Linked DNA regions of Caenorhabditis elegans. The protein of the gene in region 1 interacts with the protein of each later gene in a pairwise test. Each region holds a gene or a part of one and is shown on either strand. Other genes may lie near its edges. The genes, in order: lmtr-2 and ceh-92.

Region 1 (3,277 bases):
GCATGAAAGGCACGCTGAGTGTAAACTTCGGACCATCTCATTGAAATAACTGGAAATTGAAAGTTAATGTGAATAAAACAATTTAGAGTTTTTCTCTGTGAATAATTTCATCTCTCCACGACTCACTGTGATCTCAATCGTCGCACTTGTCTCACCGAGCCGGTCTTCGTCCGAAAATCCTCCCATAATGCATTACTGTCTGGATCAACATTCTTTTTGTCAATGTTTGCTGATTCATCATGAATTTTATTGTACAAAAATGTCCAAATTGCATCTTCTTCGATCCATGAAATCGGTGATATCGTCAATTCAGTCTCTGTGTAATCTGCATGACCTCTCGGGCCCAATGAGAGCACCTGACCTTCTTCAGTGAATGGCATCTGCTGGAAAGCAAAATAATTGATAATTAAGAACACTGAAAACGAGTAAAAAAAGCGTACTTCGAGGTGAAGATCAAGGAAAAATGGAGAAGTAAAGAAGAAAACAGGTTTTTTGAGGGAATATCGATCGATATTTCGAATATTTTATGGATAAAATAATAATATTACAGAAAAAATCGTTCCGACGTTTTGCGACGTGTCGATTGGTAGAAAATAGGACGTGTCGCACGGACTACAGTACTCCTTTGAAATCGTTGCGAGACCTTCAACCAAACGGCGGGCTTTTTAAAGCCATATTAGAGTTCTAAAAAATTAGAAAAAAACTCGAACTTTTTCCCTTTTGAATATAATTTCTCCTGAGCAATGCACTTTCATGATCATCAATTTTCATCAATTTTGTACAATTAAATGAATTTCATGTTAAAGAATAAGTATTTTATATTTTAAAAGTTCTTAAAAAAAACAAGAATGGCGTGAAATGATCTATTCATTGTTAGTAAATTGGAAAAAAATAAAATGGAATTTGGATGGGATGAATGAGACCCGATAGAAATATAAGATAATACATCGATCATCCCAAATCGTGAGAAATTGAAAGAATCGGCTGCTCGAGGTAGGCGGCCAGTGTATGAAGCTTAGCGCGGACCATTCCCAAATCGGCACTCTTGTCGGCCTTGACTGCCAGAAGCATTGTACGAGCGACGAGTGTGCAACCAATTACTCCATTCTCCAGAACGAGAATAGTTTCTTTCAGATCGTTGGCTGTAATTACAACTTGATCGAGGTGTTTGATTTCAAACTTTGAAGAATGTGAACTGGTAATTTTCCAGTTGAAATAGACTGATTATGAGCATGTTTTAAAAAATCTACCTCTTCTCTCGAGAGCAGCCCAGACACTGGCTATAAGTGCAGATGAGACGTTTGATGCAACGGCTTTCTGTTCGCTTCCGACGTAGGCAAGGAGCAATCCTTCCTTATTGAAAAGCCACGAACCATCAACACCGCTTGTGTTCACCTGTCCGAGAACATCAACCAGCGCTTTCTGTTTCAGCATCTATTTTAAAGTTTTGGATTACGGTTACTAGTTAGAAAGTTTTAATTTTGAAAATAACCAAAGAGTACGGTAAAAACCGAGAATTAGAAAAAATATAATCGAAAAATTGAATGATGATTTGAATTTATTGGAACAGGTAGGGAACATATGGAGATCCGAAAAAACATTATTTTAGAAATAAGGAATAAAACAACAATTGACGATTAAGAAAACGTTTCAAATAAATAGAAAACAATTGGACACTATGTTTTATTCCGTCCATCTGTGCTGACAATCTTGCGATGCACATACATAGTACAATCTCATCTCTTCTTCTGCCTTTTTTGTTTGAGCCTGGAAGAAGACAGCCTTACTTTTGCCACAGACTGGACATTGATGTTCTTCAGTCTTCGGGAGCGTTGGATCGTGAATAATATCTCCGACGATTTGAGTGAGCTCACTGAAATAATCCAATTGATTTAGAAAATGAGTCAATTTGACAATGAACTTACTCAATTTCGTGAACGAGCTTATTCACATAGATACACGGGTTAGCGGCGACTTCACGATGCTCACAGTTCCGGCAGGAATACATCAAAACTCGTGATTCCTTATCCTCTCGTGGGTACAGCATATTATTGCTGAAGTTTAACAATTTTGATGTTTTTTTTCAAATTTTCATCATTTTGTCTTTATTATTAGCTTTGAGCCAGAGGTGGGTGCAATTTTCTTTCGGCAATTCTACAAAATGGCATATTGCGCCATTTTGTTCCAACATTTTTAGTTTAAAATTAGTATCAAAATATAGTAATTCAGTTGATTTTACTGAAAATAACATTATTTTCGGCTGAAAAACTTCAGAAAGTGCTTAAAAATGGCATGCAAGTTACCGATTTTCAAAAAAAAAAACAAAGCTCGATAATGTTCCAGCTGAAAATGATATTTCCAGTTAAATCAATTTAATTTCAATATTTTCACACTAATTTTAAATGAAAAATGTTGAAACAACAAGGCGCAATCGGCCACTTTGTGAAATTGCCGGAAATAATTTCCTAAATAATATAAAACTAATTACCATTCTGGGCAAAACTTGATTCCAACAAAACCAGGCCCACTTTTCCCGGGTTTTTCGTTTTGACTCGGCGCCGGTGATGCACCGTTTTGATCGTACATATCATCGTAATTATCATACCCTTGGCTCATCTTTCTGAAAAAATATGATAAAACATTTTCAAGCTTTGATTTTAATTGCAGATACATTAGTGGAATGGAAAACCACAAATAGCGAATCAAAAATGTGGAAAATAAAATAAAAATGCAATTTTTATTTACAAACCAACAGAGGAGAGATAAGATTATTCGAAGAAGGAAAACCGACCTTTCTAACTTTGTATATACATATAAAAAAGAATTCCATAAAATAAAGAAATGGGGGAATGATGCTAGCCATTTGATTCTAGAAGCTTTAAAGAGATAGGAGTGACAGTGGAATTATTGACAGGAACATGTAGAATATCGAAAAAGAAGTGAATTTAGTGAAAAAAGAGCATTTGAATTATTCATCCCAGTTAACCCATCCTTCTTCTTTCTTTTCGCTTTCAGGTCGAGGTGTCAATGGTCCCTTTTCGTCATCTTCGTCATTTGATGGAATTTCCTATAACTAGTTTGACATTGCTATCGATTTTCAATAATTGGGCAGCACTTTTAATAACATTTGGTGCAAATTTTTCGAAAAAAAAATTATGGTTCAGCGACAAAACGAACCTCAACATTCTTTTCACTGCAAACACTCCATTCAGATTGTGACGGACTCGTTGGCTCTTCTACAACCACTACAGACGATTCAGATGATGGTGATGATTTC
Region 2 (4,961 bases), on another chromosome or scaffold:
TAATTTTTGTGTGATTTTTAAAATTTAGATTTTTTTTTTCGTCTTAAAATTTATTTTTGCAATTTTTTTCAAATAATCTCACAAAACAGCCATTTTAGGGGCGTTACCATTTTTTTGCCAGAAAACCAACAAGGCAGCGTCAATATCCCGAAGCCTAGCCAAGAAATGGGCGTGGCCTAAATTCGAAAAAATTTATACGAAAAAATCTGGAAATTTTTAACTTTTTCTCTGAAACTTTCAAGAAGTTTTTTTTTTTTTAACTTTTTAAAATCTCACAAAATAACCATTTAGCCAAGAAATGGGCGGGGCTTAAAATTCGAATATTCAAATTTAGGCCACGCCCACCACTTTGGTTATTTTGTGAGATTTTTTTAAATAAAAAACTTGAAAGTTTCAGAGAAAAAGTTAAAAATTTCCAAATTTTTTCGTATAAATTTTTTCGAATTTAGGCCACACCCATTTCTTGGCTATGGTTCGGGATATTGACGCTGCCTTGTTGGTTTTTCTGGCAAAAAAAGGTAACGCCCATAAAATGGCTGTTTTGTGGTATTATTTGCAAAAATTGCAAAAATAAATTTTAAGACGAAAAAAAAAATCTAAATTTTAAAAATCACACAAAAATTAGGCTCCGCCCATTTCTTGGCTACGCTTCAAGAAATCCGGAAAAACCGATTTCTCGGTTGTTTTTTTTTTAGAAAAAAATCGCTAAAAAAGTGGGGGTGACTGAGCAAGCTCCGCCCCTTTCTTGGCGAAAATTTTGGTTTTTGCACGTTTTTGATCAATTTTCAGGCGAATTTTTCCAATTTTTCGCCGAAAAATCGGGACCACGCCTATTTTAAGCTCCGCCCATTGCTTGGCTAAATGGGTATTTTGTGAGATTTTTTAAAATAAAAAAACTTGAAAATTTCAGAGAAAAAGTTAGATTCTTCCAGATTTTTTCGTATAAATTTTTTCGAATTTAGGCCACGCCCATTTCTTGGCAATGGAAAAAATGGTAACGCCCCTATAATGACTGTTTTGTGAGATTATTTGAAAAAATTGCAAAAAAAAATTTAAAAATCACACAAAAATTAGGCTCCGCCCATTTCTTGGCTACGCTTCAAGAAATCCGGAAAACCCGATTTCTCGGTTGTTTTTTTTTTAGAAAAAAAAATTGGCCAAAAAGTGGGCGTGACTGGGCAAGCTCCGCCCCCCTCTTGGCGAAAAAACAATTATTGATTTTTGCACGTTTTTGATCAATTTTTCAGCGATTTTATCCAATTTTTCGCCAAAAAACGTAGAATCCGGACCTCTTCATCGTCATTATCATCGAAATTTTGTTGAATCGTCTCAAACTCCTCATCCATCGAATTTTCGCCCTCAGCTTCTGACTGAGTTTTGTCGGTTTCTTCCTGAAAATTGTGCAATTTTCAGCAACTTTCAGCGATTTTTCCCCGCTAAATCCGACCTCATCCTCTTGAAATTTGAGAATTGTTGCGTGCAATTCCCTCAAATCGACTCCGTAAATTGGGCACAAGCTGATCGCCTCCGCCACAGTCATATCCGGCCGATCTCGAATGATTTTCAGGATTTCGGCGCGTTTTTCGTGCTGAAAAATCATACTTTGATCTACTTTTATTGAATTTTTCACTGAAAACATCATTTTTCTGGCAATTTAATGGAACATTTTTAAGTTAAATTGACTGAATTTGCTTCAAAAAATCCAAAAATTTGGTAAAATTCTGAAAAAAAACGGAAAAAACACGATTTTTCAATTATGAGAACTGCGACCAATCAGCGATTTGCTCCGCCCACTTTTCAACCAATTAGATGAAGTGGGCGGAGTTTGAAGTCGCTGATTGGTCGCAGTTCTTATTCTTGCAAATAAAACACACACAATTCTCTTGAATTCAGAAAAATAACAAAAGAAAAGCGATTCGCTCCGCCCACTTCATCTGATTGGTTCAAAAGTGGGCGGAGCAAATCGCTGATTGGTCGCAGCTATCATTTTGGAGGAAATTAGTGAAAATTGAAAAAATCCCAATTTTTTCTGTTTTTTTTTGTGATTTTTCTGAATTCAAGCCAATTTTCGGGGGTTTTTTGAAGCAAATTCGGTCAAAATGCCTAAAAATGAGATTTGTCAGCGGAAATCGCAATTTTAACCTCCGATTTTCCATAATCATGGTCTATTTGCACTGTATCCATGTCGGCAGGAATCATTCCATCCTCGAAATCATCAGACACATTAAATGGCCACTCAGTGCTGTCAAATTGGGAATTCTGCAATTTTTTTGTTGATGAAAATTCATAATTTTTCAGTTTTTTCAATTAAAAACCTGATCATTGGTGTCATCGTCAGAGAATTTGTACCAATTCACGTAATAATCTCGAATTAAATCAGGCGGCAAGACCAGGCGATCTACAACTAAGTGAATACACCCAGTAGAGGGCAAAGGCCCTGAGTAATTGAATCTTTTGAAGTATTGGAGCATTAAATTGCGAGCTGTAACGTCATCGGCTCCATCATAGACGGTAAGCGGCGAAAAGTACTTGGCCACCCGGCGACACGTGTCATTTCGAAGGCATTTTAGACCTTGGAGCTTTCGAAGTTCGCAGAATCGATTGAAAACTCTCTCGTAGCGATATCCAGAATCCTCGGAAATGTAGATCATTTGCTGGATTGTTGGATGCTTGAATTCTTTGAAATATCGTAGATCTCCGGGGAATTTGTACAGGGAGCCCTGTGCTTTGGGTGAAGGTTCTCTGGGTGGTGGAGGAGATTCCAACTCCTCGAAATGGAAATCGTTTTCGTCATCGTCAGAGAGTTTTTGCTGGAAAAAAACAGTTAAAATCAATTAAGATTCAATAAATTACCTCCTCCTTCACATGTTCTGAAGCTTCACACTTTTTACGCTCGAGCCGCTGCGCTTCTTTTTCACACCATTCGATGATATTCTCTTCTGATGGAACAAGCGGATTTTCCTTATTTTTCTCCATATTCTGGTGGAAAATCACTTAAAAGTTGCGAAAAATTCGAATAAAAAATTGTTTTGTGCATTCTGACGTGACGGTGTTTGCGGGAAAAACACAGAGTACGCAATGCGCCTGACGCAAAAATTCAGAATGACTACCGTACTTGGACATATTTTTTTGTTTTTTTTTTTTCGGTTTTTTCGTTTTTTATGGTTTTTCCTACTCGTTTTTCCCCAAATTTCTTGAAAAACTCTTAAAAACCAAAAAAAATCCATTTTAGATGGAGAAAAAGCCCTTATCCAAAGAGCTCGCCGAGCAAATGAGCATTCTACGATCTGAACAAGCCACGTCATCTTCTGCGCCGGAAGAAGCTTCGCCAGCAGCTCCAGGAGAAAATCCACCGGATGTATGAAGATTTTCAGTCGAAATCCACAGATTTTAAGCCTTCTTTTTCCAGCTTTTCGAGCAATTGAGCATTCTACGAAACTTCAGCGACGAAGCCAACGTTCCATCCACGTCATCGTCCATCCGAGAGGCATTTGATCGGTGTGAGAAGCTTGGTCACTTGCAAAATGTGAGATTTCTTTATTTTTCTCCATATTCTTGAAAAAAAATAATATTCAATTTTCACTCAATTTTTCAGAACAAAAAGCGCCACTACAAATATTGGTTCCTTGGGCGAGAGAATCGAATGCATCCGGTTCACTTTGAGCAGCTCAATGAGCTCCGGAATCGACCTCCGTCAGATCATGAGGATGACGAGGAGGAGCCGGTGGCGAAGAAATCCAAAAAACCCGTTGAGAAGAAATAAAATAAATAATTTTCACCTTTTATTCTGTTAAATTTGATTTATTTCTTTTATTTTTATTTTTATTTTCATATCTTTACCCATATTTTAGCTCATAATTCCCAGTGCCATTCGAATTTCCTTGCGTCAGTATTTAAACTGCCGCCATCAATATTTTATCAATAGAGCACACTTTCTGCAGGCTCATTTCTTTTCATTTTTAGCCATTTAAAGGGTTTTTATTGCCTTTGCAACCTATTTTTCCTTTTTTTTCGCGGATTTTGCTTCAAAAACCTTCAAAATAGTCACAAATTCAAGAAAACTAGAGTTCTTTTTTTTCTGAATTTGAGGCAATTTTGAACTTTTTTGAAGCGAAAAATCGTTTTTTTTTAAATTATTTTCATTAGCCATTTTTAGCGTGAATTATGCAACTTTTCAAGATGAATCTGATATTCACACGGATAATAAGAAGATTTGGAGAAGGAAAACGAAAAACGCCATTTCCAGGTGACCCGATTCTTGTTCCAGATGAGCCGTACGATAGTAAGGTGGGAAATTTCTTTAAAATACGCCTATGGGGCCACAGTGACCGAATATCATGATAAAAAAATTCAAAAAAATTTTCTAAATTTTATATGATTTTTTGAAAATTTAAAAAATCACAGTTTTCACCTAATTCCTATTTGAATTTCCGCCAATTAGATTTGTTCGATGGAGCGCGCTTGCACGTTTTTAAATTCATTTATTTTATTTTATTTTTTGTTATTTTCCACCGATTTTTAATGTTTTCGGTGTATTTTTGCTTGAATTTTAGAGAAAAAGTCAAAATAAATGCAAATTTTCGATTAAAAAGCACGCTTACAAGCGTAAATCAGAGCAATTAATTAATTCAAGTTCGAAATCGTTTAAAAGCGTTTTTTTTTTAACTTTTTCTCTAAAATTCGAGCAAAAATACACCGAAAACATTAAAAATCGGTGGAATATAACAAAAAAATAAAATAAATAAATTCACAAACGTGCAAGCGCGCTCCATCGAACAAATCCAATTGGCGGTAATTCAAATAGAAATTAGGCAAAAACTGAGATTTTTTCAATTTTCAAAAAATCATATAAAATCTAGAAAATTTGTTCCCCCCCATTGGGCGCACTCCACCTTTAAAAAAAATTTAATTTTCAAAAAAAAAAAAATGTTCAGATCCAAGAATCCCAGCTATCTCCAATG

The links.
Region 2: the proteins of lmtr-2 (region 1) and ceh-92 interact in a two-hybrid assay, tested with the Caenorhabditis elegans proteins (one large-scale study listed by BioGRID).

What each region holds. Positions count from the first base shown.
Region 1 is NC_003283.11:8,009,673-8,012,949, forward strand, and holds lmtr-2 (Ragulator complex protein LAMTOR2 homolog), read right to left. Parts: upstream 1,435-3,277; coding exon 1,251-1,434; intron 1,143-1,250; coding exon 952-1,142; 3' UTR 819-951; downstream 1-818. Other genes in the region: Y97E10AR.4 (SPK domain-containing protein), read right to left, coding at 1-49, 127-380; DNA-directed RNA polymerase II subunit rpb-9, read right to left, coding at 1,684-1,873, 1,926-2,054, 2,489-2,673; Y97E10AR.6 (BSD domain-containing protein), read right to left, coding at 2,969-3,067, 3,178-3,277. UniProt on the Caenorhabditis elegans protein: Regulator of the TOR pathway, a signaling cascade that promotes cell growth in response to growth factors, energy levels, and amino acids. May activate the TOR signaling cascade in response to amino acids.
Region 2 is NC_003281.10:11,579,674-11,584,634, reverse strand, and holds the start of ceh-92 (Homeobox-cysteine loop-homeobox domain-containing protein), read right to left. Parts: upstream 3,036-4,961; 5' UTR 2,977-3,035; coding exon 2,854-2,976; intron 2,811-2,853; coding exon 2,316-2,810; intron 2,260-2,315; coding exon 2,143-2,259; intron 1,589-2,142; coding exon 1,448-1,588; intron 1,392-1,447; coding exon 1,290-1,391; intron 1-1,289. Other genes in the region: Y66D12A.6 (uncharacterized protein), read left to right, coding at 3,233-3,358, 3,410-3,526, 3,596-3,763; Y66D12A.7 (Glutamyl-tRNA(Gln) amidotransferase subunit C, mitochondrial), read left to right, coding at 4,180-4,287, 4,935-4,961.